Caenorhabditis elegans: one gene and its partner. The protein of the gene in region 1 interacts with the protein of each later gene in a biochemical or structural test. Each region holds a gene or a part of one and is shown in the gene's direction. Other genes may lie near its edges. The genes, in order: gls-1 and gld-4.

What was found.
Region 2: of the proteins of gls-1 (region 1) and gld-4, one has a biochemical effect on the other in vitro, tested with the Caenorhabditis elegans proteins (one study listed by BioGRID).

The regions. Positions count from the first base shown.
Region 1 is NC_003279.8:8,734,811-8,743,212, forward strand, and holds gls-1 (Germline survival defective-1), read left to right. Parts: upstream 1-2,261; coding exon 2,262-2,408; intron 2,409-2,457; coding exon 2,458-2,608; intron 2,609-3,310; coding exon 3,311-3,498; intron 3,499-3,596; coding exon 3,597-3,673; intron 3,674-3,725; coding exon 3,726-3,819; intron 3,820-3,866; coding exon 3,867-4,196; intron 4,197-4,293; coding exon 4,294-4,613; intron 4,614-4,661; coding exon 4,662-4,855; intron 4,856-4,940; coding exon 4,941-5,179; intron 5,180-5,227; coding exon 5,228-5,336; intron 5,337-5,381; coding exon 5,382-5,618; intron 5,619-5,748; coding exon 5,749-5,864; intron 5,865-5,907; coding exon 5,908-6,100; intron 6,101-6,150; coding exon 6,151-6,314; intron 6,315-6,378; coding exon 6,379-6,558; intron 6,559-6,605; coding exon 6,606-6,687; intron 6,688-6,738; coding exon 6,739-6,933; intron 6,934-6,994; coding exon 6,995-7,137; 3' UTR 7,138-7,738; downstream 7,739-8,402. Other genes in the region: prp-4 (Pre-mRNA processing factor 4 (PRP4)-like domain-containing protein), read right to left, coding at 1-20, 67-346, 389-526, 593-745, 811-897; dhfr-1 (Putative dihydrofolate reductase), read left to right, coding at 1,412-1,546, 1,591-1,721, 1,768-1,920, 1,963-2,113. UniProt on the Caenorhabditis elegans protein: Required maternally for germline survival by forming a maternal complex with gld-3. During hermaphrodite development forms a complex with gld-3 which promotes the sperm/oocyte switch freeing the translational repressor fbf to turn off sperm promoting factors.
Region 2 is NC_003279.8:9,116,117-9,124,133, forward strand, and holds gld-4 (Poly(A) RNA polymerase gld-4), read left to right. Parts: upstream 1-1,998; coding exon 1,999-2,151; intron 2,152-2,232; coding exon 2,233-2,400; intron 2,401-2,524; coding exon 2,525-2,668; intron 2,669-2,777; coding exon 2,778-2,951; intron 2,952-3,000; coding exon 3,001-3,138; intron 3,139-3,182; coding exon 3,183-4,266; intron 4,267-4,364; coding exon 4,365-4,811; intron 4,812-4,865; coding exon 4,866-5,074; intron 5,075-5,624; coding exon 5,625-5,645; 3' UTR 5,646-7,065; downstream 7,066-8,017. Other genes in the region: ZK858.2 (uncharacterized protein), read right to left, coding at 7,084-7,179, 7,226-7,499, 7,587-7,814, 8,000-8,017. UniProt on the Caenorhabditis elegans protein: Cytoplasmic poly(A) RNA polymerase that adds successive AMP monomers to the 3'-end of specific RNAs, forming a poly(A) tail. The enzymatic activity is enhanced by its interaction with gls-1.

The DNA.
Region 1 (8,402 bases):
TCCGGACCAGCCAGCGGTAACTGAAGTTTTTGATTAGTTGGAAAGTTCTACTTAGAAAAAACAAACCAATATGTTCAGAATCTGCTGAAAATTCACAAAAAGCCACAGGGCGTGTGTCTGCAACTTGAGAAGCATGAAGATTGATTTGTTGAACCCATTTGTGAGCTTCTTGACGAGCCAAAGCTTTTTCGTGAGCAGGGCGAGCAGCTTCTTCTCGAGCTTTGTCAAGTCTTAATTTAGCTTTTCTTAGAGAAAAATCAGCGATTGAAACGCGTGCCATCCGAAGTTCAATCGGACCACGATGATACCAAGTAACGGTTTCTTCGTCTGCTTTATCAGCATTCACCTTCAAATTTTTAAATAATTTTTCAAACATTGAAAAACTTACTTCATCAGTATGCAAAACGGCTGCAATTTCATCTTCAGACATTGTTGAAAGTAGAGCTCTAAGTCTTTCTCTTCTATCCAATGCATCTTCTCCGAACAAACAAATTGGTTGGTTTAGAGCACGAAGTTTCAGTTTTACCTTTAAAATATATCTTCAAGTGGGTAGTTATTAAAAAAATTTTATTCATATGTATCAAAACTGTACCTGAACATCATCTGTTGGCAATGTGAGAGTTCTTGCTCTCCGTCTTCTATCAAATTCTGCAAACATTTCAGCATCGTGGCGTGAATCTGCTTGATTTGATACTTCCATTCGTTCCAAAGACACTGTGGGTCCATGGTTTTGCTGTTGTGCATTCTGAAATTTTAAATTAAAATTCAGAAAAAATAACATAGTCAAAGAATTCATGAAAAAAAACATACCAAGATTGCATTCACGCTTTCTGCATTCGCCAGTGATCCAAACTGTCTTGGCGGTGCTGGAACAGCAAAATTGCCATTTTCAGCCATTTTGTGTGCTCTTAAAAAATTTAATTACTTTAAAAACCACTGTAAAGAATATGAAGTTATATATTAGGACATTCAGAACGAAGATGTGAGACATAGGAATGGGCTTGTAGTTTTATTATAATTTATTATATTTAGTTGTGAAGTTTAAAACATTTTAAAGTGAACAAAGGAAAGAAAATGGCATAAAAGTTCAAAAAAAGCGGTGAAAATTCTTCGAAAGTGGGAACCAGTAATCGCGCTCTAATGATAATTTGAAGAAATCTGAGGTTCTCTCACTTCTTCTCGATTCATTTTCACCCTCATTTTTTTTTGATTATCTATTTTTATTGATTTTCCCACGATTCATTATCTTTATCTTCGAAATCTGTATTGTTTGAAGATTTCAGTCGATACGAAGTCGAATGGAAGCGTATTTCAAATGTGCTTCGTTTTGCTGTGCAAAGTTCTCATTACCCGTTTTTAAAATTTTCTCTGGTATCTCAATCGAGTTATTTTCTATTTCTAGGCATTAAAAATGAGAAAAATGAACTTAATAGTGGCTATGGATGCCGAAGGAGGAATTGGCAAAAATGGCGTGTTGCCATGGCGAATCAAGAAAGACATGCAGTATTTCGCGTCTGTTACCAAAAATGTTTCTGATCAGTCGAAGGTTGTTCGAGATTTCTAACTAAACTTGTAACATAACTTTTGTAGAGAAATGCAGTTCTCATGGGACGAAAATGCTGGGAAAGCATTCCAGTAACTCGCCGCCCGTTGGCAGGACGGCTAAACATTGTTTTGAGCCGACAACTTCCTGCGCAAAAGTCCGATGACTACATTGTTGTGTAAGCTGTCATGAAATAATATTTAACCTGTTGTTGTTACATTCAGAAACTCGCTCGAAGCGGCTATGAAACTACTTTCGGAGCCACCATTTGTGGATTCGATCGAAACAATCTGGAATATCGGTGGAGCTGAAATCTATGATCTTGCGTTGCGAGAAAACTTGGTTGATGAAATTCACTTGACACGTATTTTCAAAAAGTAGGGTGCTTGCACAGTTTTTTTACTCTGTCGTAATTTCAGCTTCGAAGCCGATGTTCATCTCAAGTCACTCGATTTCAGTAAAATGGAGAAAGTTCAAAATGCCGAGGTGTCATCGGAAAATTCAGAAATTTTCGAAGAAAATGGATTAAAGTTCGAATTTTGCAAATGGAAGGTTGTCGAGAACCACTGAATTTTTTTTTGAAATTGCTGTTTATTTTTTTAATTTATATGTATTCATTCACCTGTTGTTTACTCGGGCAGCCCACAATTTTCACGTGTAAATATAAAATCTGTACATGATTCTTATTACTATTAACTTTTTGTAATTCATCGTAAGTATGCGATGTTTGATATCTTATTTATTTCATTCCTTCCTTATTTTTTTAAAATTTATCCGTTCAGACGTCACAGCTTTAACTCTTCAAGAAAAGCGTAAGAAGTCTCGGTTAACTGGTATTTTGATGAAAAGTATGGCCAATAAAAAGGTGTGTTGATAAAGATAGTGAAATTCGACATATTTTTCCCTAGTTTCAGAACCATCAGCAAAAGAAAAGTACAGACGGGTCAACGATGAACGGGAATAACGCAACAGCAACTGCCGCTGCAACAACTCAGAATTCATCACAAATTGGACAAAATTCCAATTCCAGTCATAGCGTCACCAACGATAACACTTCCAGCAATAGTACGTATACACGTTTCTCACAAATCTGTTTTGAAATAACAAGGACGGCTGTTCCTAAATAGGTTTTAGAATTTTCTTGCAGCAATTGCAAATTAATTCAAAATTTTGTGTCTTAATTTCCAATGGTTCATTTAAATCGAGATTTTGGAGACCTTGGTCTTCACAATCTGTGCTTAAAAAATGACCCCGAAGAAAAGAAAGAAAGTGAATAGACGAGTACAGAACCGAGGAGGGCAAACATATATAATAAAAATAAAAAAGAGAAAGAGGCCACCAACACAGGCACGATGCCCCTTTTCCATCTCTTCCTCTTCTCTTTTCAATAAGCATCAAGGTGCGAAAGTCGATTTATTTATTATAACCCAAACTATTACATTTGATTTCCCTATTGATGTGATGAGTGATAAGCAATGACTTTTCTAGCATCTAAATTTTAACAATTAGATTGGAACGTCTATATTAATCATTTCATATTTATTGATTTAATTTTAGAATTTGATTTATATATATATATATATATATATATATTCAATGTCCTATTATTTCTATGTATTCTCTTCTGATTTTGGAATACTTCAACAAAATTCTCAAGAAAACGTTAAAATGAAACATAAAGGGTCTCTAAAATGCGGTAAGCAACAATGTAAATTTAAAGAAAATTCAACTCTCAAGATTCATAGAATTTATTTATATTCATTTCAGACGCTTCGACGTCTACATCGTCCATCACCTCAACTACCACTACGACCACTACAGTACCTTCTTCACAGCAGAGTCAATCTCAAAATCAATATTCACATCAAAGACTTTCATCGACTTCTTCAACGTCACAGCAAACTGGAATTTCTAAATTTCCTGCCAAAAAGGCTGGGCACAACGAGCTTGAGAAGGTAAGTAGGCGAAGATAAATTCGACTGAGTCTATCGTGCATAATTATTTCATATTTTAAAACACATGTTTTCTCAACCTGTTTATGATTCACTTGCAGACAAGCAACACTGCTAATTCACAATCGGGTGCTTTCAAAGGAACCACAAATAAAGATCGGCCGAAGGAAAAGGAGAAGTAATTAAATCAGTAACTAGTTAAAACAAATCCTTAGCTTTTGCTCGTTCAGAAACACTCACAGTGGTAATAGGCAAAGTCAGGTTAACCATAATCATCATCATTCAAACCATGTTAGCGGAAATCAGCAGAACCGAAAGAATAAGGTTTGTATAAACGTATAATTACGATAAAAATTAATTTTAATGTTAAGAATCGTGATCATTCGAACCAAAGTTATCGAGGTGGCTACACACATAACCACAATAATTATCACTCGTTGGAAAATGCTAAATCTTCTGGATTTCTGTCAAATTCTTCCCTATCCTCTGCGGGACAAATATCAGCGTCTTCTGCTCCTCCAGTGAGCACAACTCCGACTGCTATTCCCATCTTTCAAGAATCCAAAATAGTTCAAACAGATCCACCAGTCGAAGAAGCAAAAAAGAAGAAGGAAAAACCAAAAATCAAGCGTGATGAAGAGCCGATGCCATATAAGAGCACTGATCCGAAAAATATGGATTCTGTGATGGCATTCAAAGAGGTGATTCATAAATACAAGACATTTTAGTATTTATCATTTTTATTCAAACAAAATTTTTAAAAAGTTATTAGTTTTCAAAACGTAGTTTGGATTGCAGCACGATGAATGGGATAAGGTGGAGTTTATGTGTGAACTTGTTTCTTTCCTGTCTCCAACCGATCTTCGCCTGCTTGGAAATTGTATCGAAGGATCTGTTCGTTGCTATAACAATCAAATGCGGCCAGTAGAAAAGACTTCAAACTGTTCGGATCCAACAGCTGGTTTACCTCAATTCGTTTGCTCTCCTCCACCTCCACCGCAACAAGTTTATTATTTTCCTGGTATTGCGGATGCTGCCCTGTATCAAACAAGAAATGCAGTTAACTCGGTTTTTGTACAGCAACATCCACCTGGTCTTCCACCGTTATTAGGCGGAATGTATGCATTATTGTCGGTGAATTATAATTTAAAAATTTTTTATTTCAGGCAGAATATTATGTATCCACCTGATGCTAACTTTCATCATTCAACCTCTTGTACGACACCTTCATCATCAGTTTCCGTTGCAAATAAGGATGTTAACAATGTACCAGTTGTGCTATCAAGTAGTGTGAACGGAATAAGCAATAATATTCCATCAGATAGACAACAGCTAGATTCCAAACCAAATACTGCAAGAGGTAAAAAATCTTCATCATTATTTGACACAGTTAAAAAATGTATTTTACAACACAATTTCCCTCTCAAATTCGCAACATTTTTCAGGTTCGAGCGGCAATATCAACCAATCTAATACAACATCACCAGAACCGGAGCCCGGTTCTAATCACATCTCCACCACAGCAGCAAACCCTGCACATCCAACTTCAGTGACTGTACCACAGTCGGTACCACCGGTCCCTCAAGAACCAGAATTGTTTCTCAAATCTGTTCTCGATCTTACCAGTTACATATACACTCTCATGGCAGTTTGTTCATCAACAAATAGAAAATCAGCTGCTAAGGTGAATCAGAATACGACTTTAGATGGTATTTAATCGATTTATTTAAAGATCTCTGACTATGTTCAAAATGTTATTCTGAGAGAAAAGAGCCAAATACTCGAACGTATTCCGGATGAACTTGATAAAATTACCGTTTTACAAGAAATCGGTAAAATTGGTAAGTCTTCATTTCCGTGTTTTGGAGTATACTTTTTTGTTTCAGTCGCAGCCATGACTCATCACCCAGCAATTACTCTTGATGACAAAATGAAATATGCGGCTCTGCGGGACGGATTACGTGCTCAAATAGAAACATTGTTTAGACAATACTACACAACTCAGAAACAGTTGGAGCAAAGCAATCTTGTTGTACCATCATCACAAGCTGTTGGCGATGAGAATGATACTGATTCCGACCATGAATCAGAGGAAGAATTTGAGCCACTATCAGGTGTTATGGGTAAGCAATTAATTAATATTTAACAGAATTTTTCACATGCATTTCTAGAAATTTTTCGATAATTAGTCGATGAATTGAGTTCGGAACATTCCAACTAAATCACTGATAACATTCCGCATCTTTTTTTCAGGTTCGCGTTTCGAGAGTAATCCAGTTCAGCCGTCGCCATCAGTTCCGGGAACATTCTTTATCATTCGATTTATTGGACGACAAATTGAGAAGAACGATAATCTTTTCAGCCTGGAGGTAACACGCAACCTGAAGTTTCTGAAATCATAAAGGTTTTCAGATTCATTGGAGTGATGGTGACAGAACATTTGCTCAAAGATCTCGTGATCAATTGAAAGCTCTACAGCATCGTCTTCTTGATGAGTTCGGACAACAGAGAAGTGAAAAATATCTTCATCAAGGATGCACTACATCCTACTCTTCATTTGACGATGATAACAAAAAGCTTTCAGCGAGCACATCTACAATGGAGAGTATGTATTTTCAATTTATAGTCTCTAATTTACAATTTTTATTTTTGCAGCGTTTGCTCCAAACGGAGAGCGTATTGTTCCACGTCTTGCTCGTGATGCGACTCCAGCTCAATATGTTCAATACATCAATGAACTTTCTGACTTGCCAGCTAGAATGATGCTGTCAGCTGTAATATGTGAAGAGTTCAACGGTACCAGAGCGAAAACAGAAGATGTTAGTTTCTGATACTGTTCATTTCTAGATTGATTGAAAAGAACGAATCTATTCCGAAATAAAGCTATTGCAGGAAACTCGCGAAGCATCGGATGGATTAATATATTCTCGATGGAAGAATCCACGTGCCAAATCTCCAGTTCGTTACTTCAAACGAAATGCAACAGGAAGCATTGACCCGATTGAATTGCCTGTCAATATGCAACCATTCCTTTATTCAAATATCCCGCAAACACAAGTGCAGGTTTGATTTCGAATTTTCGTAAAATCTGAGAAATTTTCAATTTCTAGACGCTGTTCCCAAGTTGCTCTAATTGTGGCGGTCCTCACGCTCCGAAACACTGTGAAAAACAAACATTGTTATCGAAGAAAGGCATGTACAAGTTGAATTAGATGGCAATAATGAGAATAATCAATTATTAAGGTGATCATAGAACTCGTTCAGACGGGGAAGGTTCTCAGCAAAATGGTGGAACTTCCTCTTCCAATTCATACGCTCCAATTCATGCAAACCTCCCCCATGCAGTATACATTGAAAATCCGCAAGCAATGTTAGGATCAAATCACTTCAATCATCATCAACAACAGCACATAATTCAGAATACTATATTCCATAATGGTATGTATTAAACTTTTAAAAATTAGAATAATTGATTCAACATGACACAATAATTTCTCAGGTGGACAATTTCGTGCAAACGGAACATATGAACCGCAAATTCCGATAGCATACTATCATGCCCAGGGAACTGTACAAAACTCAAATAATACTGGTGGAGTCAACGGAAACAGTGGGGGCGGGAACCAGAATTCGAATTTCTGAGAGATGCTGAATTGCTGCTCCTTTTTATATCAATTCTTGTGATTTCGTAATAGTTTTCTTCTTTTTTTGTTCTTTCTTTCACCCAATTTTTTTTTCATTGTTTATGTTTAACGCTCACACATTTTAATTTTCATCGACACGTGTATTATTGAATTTCTCTGATCCATCACATCCCGATTGCCATCATCATCCTTAAAGCGACATTTTCTCGTTAGGTACGTACACGTGGTACAACTTCGTTTAAACTATAACAAATTATCACTGAAGTCTCGAAAAACGTTCTCTTTCTCTTCATAATTCACAAGCCAAGACCACCTGATTAGTTTTATTCAATTTTTTCTGTTTTCTATATTTCAAAATGCTGGTCATTTCTCTCTTTCGTTTAGGTATTCACTTTTTTAATTTATACATATTTTTGTTTATATATACATATATCTTTTTGACCACCCCGTCTTCCACCTTCAAGAATAATATCGTTGATTTCTTGTTTTTTTTGTAACCCTATCTCTCTCTCCCTCTCTCTTCCCTCTAAATTTTCTTTCATTTTCCCAATTATTTTAATTGTTTCTTAGGTGCGAAATGAACGGTGGAACTAAAAAAATATTTACAAAACTTTATGCTGATAGAGGAGAAAAACACAACATTTGGGATACAAAAAATTCGAGAATCGCTTCGTGAAATGATGACTCACACTAACATAAAATTTTACACATTTTTAAAAATGAAATACAAATGAAATAATTGAACAGTTTTTAAAGTATGCGACAACTAAGAAAATGCATTTGGAATTAATTATAATCGGGATTTTACAAATTGAAACCACGGAATGAATTATTAAAATCACCACTTTCGAAGATTATTTAGAAATGGAGTAAGTTGTTTCAGAAAAAAAAATGAATGGACCTTGTTACGTCATGTTCCCGATGGACACTTTTCTAGAATCGATTGAAAACTGAAAATGGCAGGAAATGACAATTTTGGATGAGGGTTCGGGAAGTAAAGGTAAAAAAAGAAAAATCAGATGATCCTGAGGATGAAAAGGCTTGATGAACAATTGGAAAATAGGCAAATTTCAGAAAGTTACAGACAAATTTGAATATATTGCAAAGCTTGGAAGACACTGTGTGAAAGAATTGATGATTTTTGGATGATTTGACATTATATAAATATTATTGAATTTAATAAAAAATTAGTTTAAAGGCACATTTGTATATCGTGTCAATGCACCATTAAATTTAGATTTTAATCAAGAAACAATAATATTT
Region 2 (8,017 bases), 380 kb from region 1:
TCCATTGCTTTGCGGAGGTGGTGGAAGACATTTAGCTGTGTGTTGCGATGGGTCTGGCTGGTTGCTGCTGTGCAAACTGCAAACGGCTATTTTGATAATAGTGGCGAAGAGTGAGAGAGAGGCGGGGAGTGCGAACGAATATGAGTGGAAGAGAGGGTGGTGTATGTGGACGATGACCGTGGCTGTGTGTTTCCTAGTCTCGTCTCACTGTTTTTTTTTCCGAATGTTTGTAGTGCATGAGACTCTAATTTCGAGTGTACTAAACGCGCGCGCACAAGATTAAGAAGCTTCCTTTTTACTTCAGATATCTTTAGGAATTGCTACCTCACTATTAAAAATTTGTAAACTTTTTTCTTTACTTGAATTGGTTTTTCTTCCAGTTTAAAATTTAAAAATCGGTATTTAAATTAAATTATAATTTCATTTGAAAAAAAAACCCTTACACTGAAATGTCAACGTACATACATTTTTACGTCTCAATAGTTCACTAATTATGCATAACCATCACACGCATAAAAATGTCGATAGATGGTATTTGTTATTACACCTTTCTTTCGTCATCTCACTCTTTATTTCATTTAAATCTCTCTCGATCTCACAATCTCTCGTCATAGATCCATCCACCCGCCGGTCGAAAGATTTTCTTCTTTGGTTTTTATCTTTCCGTCTCGTCCAGCAACGTCCGTTTCTACACACTGTAGAAAGAAAACTTTTTTTGTCGAATAGAGACGATACCATTTTTCTTCTTTTTTTTCGGTTCACAATTGAGTTATCACTTCCGCTTTGAAATTATTATTGAAAAGTTTCATTGAGTATTACTTCCGCATTTTTACGCGAGAGAGTAAAAATATTAATTTACTTTTATAAGTACTGTGACCTATAAGCCTAATTCTGTTAAAATAATCTATGATTATCTTTGATTGCTTACTGATAGCCGGGTTTATCTTCAAAAACTACTAGCAATCACCAAACAAATCTTATATACCTGCTTTTCTTATTTTGGAAAAATAATAGAAAATTCAAGTTTTTCTGGAAATTTCAGTCAGTACTTCGAATCAGCTCGCCTATTCCTCTATTTATATTTCTAATCTCTATCCACTCAGATAAAAAACAAATTTCTGAGAAAATGCGTATTTTTCTCTCTTTCTCGTCTAAAAATATGGTGTTTACTTATGATCTCTCTGATTTTTTGTCGCTGTCTCTCTCTTCGCGGAAAGCCGAGATCTGCTTGCTCCGAATTCATTGCCTGTGGCTCAAAAATTGATATTGTTGAAATGTTGAGATGCATGGGAGACAAAGAGAAAAAGTGACGTTGTATTTTGTTGTGTTCCCGCGACAAGCAGAACATATGGAAGTTATTTTTGAAAAATATTGATAAAAAATGAATGTGTGTTCAAGATGTTTGTTTCTTTGTACTCCATGGGCATCAAAATACAAAACGAAGTGAAATTTAATTCCTTTCAAGAAAACTTGATTTTTATCAAATGTTTAAGAAAAGTTTAATTCGTTGAAAAACGCAAAAAGAAAAAGTATGGGGCTCATCATAATGGAAAATAGTAACGAATAATGTTACATTATATGTAAAACCCTCAAATCAAGTTTATTTTATGATTTTTCTCTCTTTACAAAGTATTTAGCAACAGTTGTTTTGTTTTGTTAGAAAAACGTGGTATCTCTTTCTTTGCGTTTATCTTCATCGCATCGACTCTCACTCTTCCGTCTAAAAGATGGGGAAGAGCCTTCAAAAACTATTCCCATGAAAAACGACGATTATCTTATCACTCTCCTTCTTCTTCACACCCCAATTCCTTCTTTCCCGTTCTGATCATCTCATTTTTATCACAACCTCTTCATATCTATGGGCTCTTTTTTTTTTGACTTCCGGAACTCAGTTTAGTTTTAGATTTATGAGTTCTCTTGGAAGATTTCTGATCTTTATATTGTCATTATAACTTCGAACTACGTGGTTCTTTTCAACTTCTAAAAGTTTATTTTCAGATGAATGAAGACAGCAGATTATCATCATCACAACAACCGTCAACGTCGACACCTCGTTCATCGATTCCTTCGACTATGAATTCGGATGAACCAAATACGTGTCGCCGTCTTAGTCAGTCCCAGGAACAGCCATCAACGTCCAGAACTTGCAAAGTAGGTTTTACTTAAACGTGTAAACAAATGTTGACTAGTTATCAAAATTAAAAACTGATTAATCATTCAATATATTTTCAGAGTGAAACTCCAGAGTTTGGATATAGTGATTCATTGCCGTTCGCCCCATGGCGAAGGAAACGGTACGGACTGAATATTCAAGGACTGCACGAGGAAATTGTCGATATGTATCATTGGATAAAACCGAACGAGATAGAGTCGCGACTTCGAACGAAGGTCTTTGAGAAGGTTAGTTTTACTTTTTCTTAATTTTTTGAAATATGTAGCAAAGTTAACCGAAAACTCGAAATCTGTAACTTCTCGTAATGAAAAAAAAAGGAAAATACGGAAAATATAAACATTAAATTTTCAGGTCCGCGATTCTGTGTTACGGCGATGGAAACAGAAAACAATAAAAATCTCAATGTTTGGAAGTCTTAGAACGAATCTCTTCTTACCTACTTCGGATATTGACGTTCTCGTTGAATGCGATGATTGGGTTGGAACACCTGGAGATGTATGTTTTTTACTGAGAATTAAATAAGAGAAAATCTTGATAAGAATTTTGAATTCAAATCATAGTTATATCAGTTATTACTTTCCAGTTTATATATTTGTTAATTCAGTGGCTTGCTGAAACAGCACGTGGACTTGAAGCGGACAATATTGCGGAGTCGGTGATGGTCTATGGAGGAGCATTTGTGCCTATTGTGAAAATGGTGGATAGAGATACTCGATTGAGCATTGATATTTCATTCAATACAGTTCAAGGAGTACGAGCAGCTTCATACATTGCAAAGGTACGATAATTAAACCCGTAACAGATACCAAATATTATCATTTTTTTAGGTGAAAGAAGAGTTTCCATTAATAGAACCACTTGTTCTCCTGCTCAAACAATTCCTTCATTACCGTAATCTCAATCAAACATTCACCGGAGGTCTATCCTCCTATGGACTCGTCCTTTTGCTCGTTAACTTTTTCCAGGTAATTTTTCCGTTAGCTCAAAACGTCTATAAAATGAATTTTAGCTTTACGCCCTAAACATGCGAAGTCGAACAATTTACGACCGAGGAGTCAATCTAGGACACTTATTGCTTCGTTTCCTCGAGCTGTATTCTTTAGAGTTCAACTTTGAAGAAATGGGAATATCACCTGGACAATGTTGCTATATTCCAAAGTCGGCTAGCGGAGCAAGATACGGTCACAAGCAGGCTCAACCAGGGAATCTAGCATTGGAAGATCCATTACTTACTGCAAATGATGTCGGTAGATCTACATACAACTTTTCTTCAATAGCCAATGCCTTTGGGCAAGCTTTTCAAATATTACTTGTTGCCGTCACATTACGCGAGCGAAAAGGGAAAAATCATGTGGCTATGAGAGCTTACAAAGGATCTCTTCTCCATCTCATTATGCCATTCACATCAAAAGAGCTCACATATCGTAACTGGTTAATGAGTGGTGTGTTATCAATGCCTGGCCAAGAAGCACCGGCATCGTATGACTTAAATCAATTGCATAACACTTTGGTTTCTCCGATGGTCGATCTTTCACGATACGCTTGGCTTAGAAAAGCACCAGCGAAGGCAGAAAAGCGGGATTCTCGACCTCTGACGATTGTAAATCCAGCAGATGATCGTCAAACTCTTGCCCAACAGTTGAAGAAGCAGATTCTGGAACAAACTGAAGCAAAGAAATCGTTAGAAAAAATGCCGGCTTGTGATGACAACAAAAAAGAAGAGGAATTGGTTGCAACAAGAGAAACTGATGTTGAATTGGAAGCAGAAGATACTGAATCAGAAGGTCATCATAATGGTGAAAATGATTTGATTCTTACTGGACCACCTCTACCAACGTCTACACAATCCGTCAATACATCTGCCACAGTATCTACTGCAGCGAGTATTTCGGAGCGAGAAGACACTGATTCACCAGGACTGTCTTCGTCAATGGGAAATCAATCTTCAGAAGAAGATGAGGATAACGGAATTAATAATCGAAACAATTCTGCTGTTCCTGTTCAATTCAAGAAACCCTTCAATGAAGTTGTTGCCCAGCCAGCAAGAGAATCGAAGAGAACGCAGACAACCAGTGAAGACAAGATGCAAGATCGTGAGTTTTCTTTTTTTACTTTTATCGAAAGTGATTTAGTTTTAAGTTTTTTTTAAAGTTTTACATCTGCATTGATATTGTGCAATTCCTATTTTCAGAATTCCATTTCAATGGATACTCATATCCTCCACCCTCACGATATGCAGCAGGTACCGCGGCACCATCACACAAACATCGTAATGCGCACCCGCAACGGCAGCGTCCTTCAATTCGTAATCTTTCACAAGGCTCTGATGGGTCAGATGAATACAATGTTGAATCATGGAACAACAATATAAGACAAGGAAGAAGAGCCTCGTCGAATTCACCAAGTCCATCCAGACAGCAGACGAATACTAGAAATTGTGGACCCACTAATAATATTCCCTACGATTCATTTCGCTCACAAAACAAGAATTCGACGTTAGATGGTTCGAATAATTCATCAGAAGAGCCAATAACAATGTATGCCGATGTTGTTAAAAAGAAGTCTTCGATTACAACATCAACCAATACTTCCACTGCAGATGTCAACGTCACCAATGGAAATCCAATACCCGCAAATGGTTGGTAACTATTTAAAATTTTTTAAAGAATTATATAAAATTGACTGATTTTAGGAATAATTCCACAATCTATGGCCGTGGTCAACGTTGGAAGAGGATCCTATAGAAATGCTCTTACAACTTCCCCCATGACGCCTCCATCAGCACATACTTCAATGCAGAAGCAACATCATTTGCGTAAAGATAACGAATGTGGTTTCGACAACAACTCAGCCACTTCTTCTACTGATTTAAGCCATCATCAACCACAATTGGTTCCACCGGTAAGCACCAGGGCTGAGCAGCAGGCCAAAAAAATCGGCGATCGCCGACATTAATTTTTTTTTCGGCGATCGGCGATCACAAATTGCCAAAAAAAATCGGCAATCAGCGTGGGCCTATTTTTTTCAATTGTAAACAATTAATTTTAAGAGCTCTTTCAAAGAATTATTTATAAAATCTAAAAAAGTAGGCAACGAAAAGCACTCCTTGATACCTTAAAATTCGAAAAGTAGAGAAAAAAAATCCGAAAATATACCTTTTTTCTTCTTCAGAGGGGTCTATCTTGGACTATAAAATTTCATCGGCGATCGCCGAGTTCTTATTTTCTCATCGGCTATCGGCGATCGCCGATTGCCGCTCACCCCTGGTAAGCACCCTCAAAATGGCATCGTTATCAAAAGCTTGAAACGTTGAAATATACAAACTTTCACATTAGGCCTTCGGTTGGCTATTAGAGATACTGTAACAGCTGTTTTCGAAAAAATTGACTGTCAAAAAATGTTTACGTCCATAGTTTTTTTTAATCTTTCAATGACCGCATTCAGTTTTCAGGTGAATCGTCTGCAGCGATAGCGTAACTTTCATGGATGCATTGTATTTCCCTTCCCATGTTTCTTGTTCTCATACTGATAACAGTTTTTTCACTCTCTTTCCCATAAGTTTTCACATAATTCACTCTGTTTTCTCTCCCACACCCCCGTATAGATTCTCTTTTTGTCGTCCCCGTGTGTTAGTTTTCAATTGAAAAATCCCAGTAGATACAATATACAAAAAAAGTTATTAAAAGAATTATATTCCCCTCACCTAACCAATTTTGTTGTTTTCTTTTTTACGTTTTCCTACCCATCATTGTATTCCCTTTATATTCTCGTTTAGAAACACTCCCTATCAGAAAATGCCCAAAAATTGTTTTTCTTTCCAAATTTTCGAACTCTCGCTGCTCAAGCTGCCCTTGTTTATTTTTTTCTATTTTCCATATATTCCCCCGAGTTAATATCATCTGATTCATCATTGATTATTATTTTTTATTATTATTATGACTTCCATATTCGCCCCCAAACATACACGTCGTGCACTCGCTACAAAAATTCCGGTAATATGTTTCTCGTCCATTCTCAAATAGCAACTTTTTCGCTTTGTTTTACTTACATCTAGAATGTCTTGAGAATCAATCCATTTTATTCACATTTTGTTTACTTCCTTCGAAGACGATTTTAGCCTGTTAGTATGATTCTCAAGATATTCTTAAATTCCCTTTTACCTGTTCCCCACACACACGAGTTGCGATACTTATGTAATATTATTGTCGTCATCGAAGATCATGTATAATGGAACACAATTCACAGTTTAAGATTCCGTCCATTCGTAGAAGTTCAAACGACTCTAGTGTACGGTATCGAAAACAATGAAGCGTGATTGTATGCGATGTTCTGTCACGATAATGAGATAATAATCGCTTTCTAATAATGTGCTAGGTGTTCTGGCTTGGAAATAATAATATCAGTTCTAATTATTATGAACTGATACTATAATTCCCAAACCGCTTTGTTCTTTCCCTCATTTTTTCTAGTGTATCAGAATATCATTCATTGGTCTTCATGTTTTGTGTTCTTTCTCTCCCAGCTCTCTTAATTCCAGGTCCTCTATCGTGTATTGGAACTGTAACACTTTCGGTTTTCGCGTCTTCGTCGTCGCTCCCCAAAAACGCACACTGAATAATCAAATCGGGTTCTCTATCAATCATCATGCTCCTCTCTTCCGTTCATTCTTTTCATTTCCATGAGCTCTTTCTTTCGGTTTTCATTACTTCTTTGCCCTAAACATTCACAAACACGCACACATTCTTCATTAGGTTTCGTTTTATTTCCAACATTCTTTCCTGCTCCGCCTTCACCCTTTGCCAAAAAAATGGCTTTTATTGAAGTATTATGTGTGTGCAAGTGTTTCTCTGTAATTATTTGATGACTACCGCTTCTCTTAAATAAATAATTCTCTGTATTTTTCGAATTTATTAATCTTGAATGAGACTCAAAATCAGTTCGATTCGTTCCCATTTGTTCTGTTTATTGAGCTTCTCATTCTCCAAGTCTTCCAAGACTTTGTCAATCTGAAAAATACACTTTTACACGGATCCTTCAATGCTTTAAACTTACATAATCCGATTCACAACTCATTAGTCGAATATTCCATTCAATAAAATCAAGTGCTTCCAAAATTTCATTCTCATTTTCTACTGCCATTTGAGCAATTCCAATCGACTCGAGACGATTAAATTCCCGTAATTTCGCACAATTCGATGAATTTGATGGAATTATTGTTGAGTTTATTGTTTCTGTACACGCAGGTGAGTTATTCAGAATTTCAGAAATAATTTTCTGAAAAGCATTCGAACTCACTGGTTCCATGGCTGTCGAAGTGTTGTCGATTCTGTAATGAATAAATTATTTTTCTTATAAACACACGGTTCGTAATTTTGATCGTGTTGAGACCGGCTACCGTAATCTGGAAGCTCACCGTTTGCTACGTGGCAATGTTTGTGGAGTATTCATTTGAATTTCAGTTCGATTAGCTGTTATCATTGAAAGTCGACGACGAACACTATTGAATACGGAACGAGATGCTTGACGAGTTCGAACACGTCTTATACGATTGACACGTACAATTTCTCTTGAGATCGATCTTGCATCAACTGGAGTTATTAACACTGGAGTCGAAATGTGATATGGAGTTGTGACAAGTTCTCTGAAGATTTATATTCATTTTTCTGATTTAATTGAATTATATAACATTTAGGAAACATCGATAGAAAATCAAATATTTATATCGTCATTTCGAGAAAGTTTAATAAAATATTTAAAGGCACACGCGGTTTTTCTGTGTGAGTCTCGCCACGATCTTAGGAATAGTGTTTGCTATTATATATATACCTGATTGGCATGAAATCT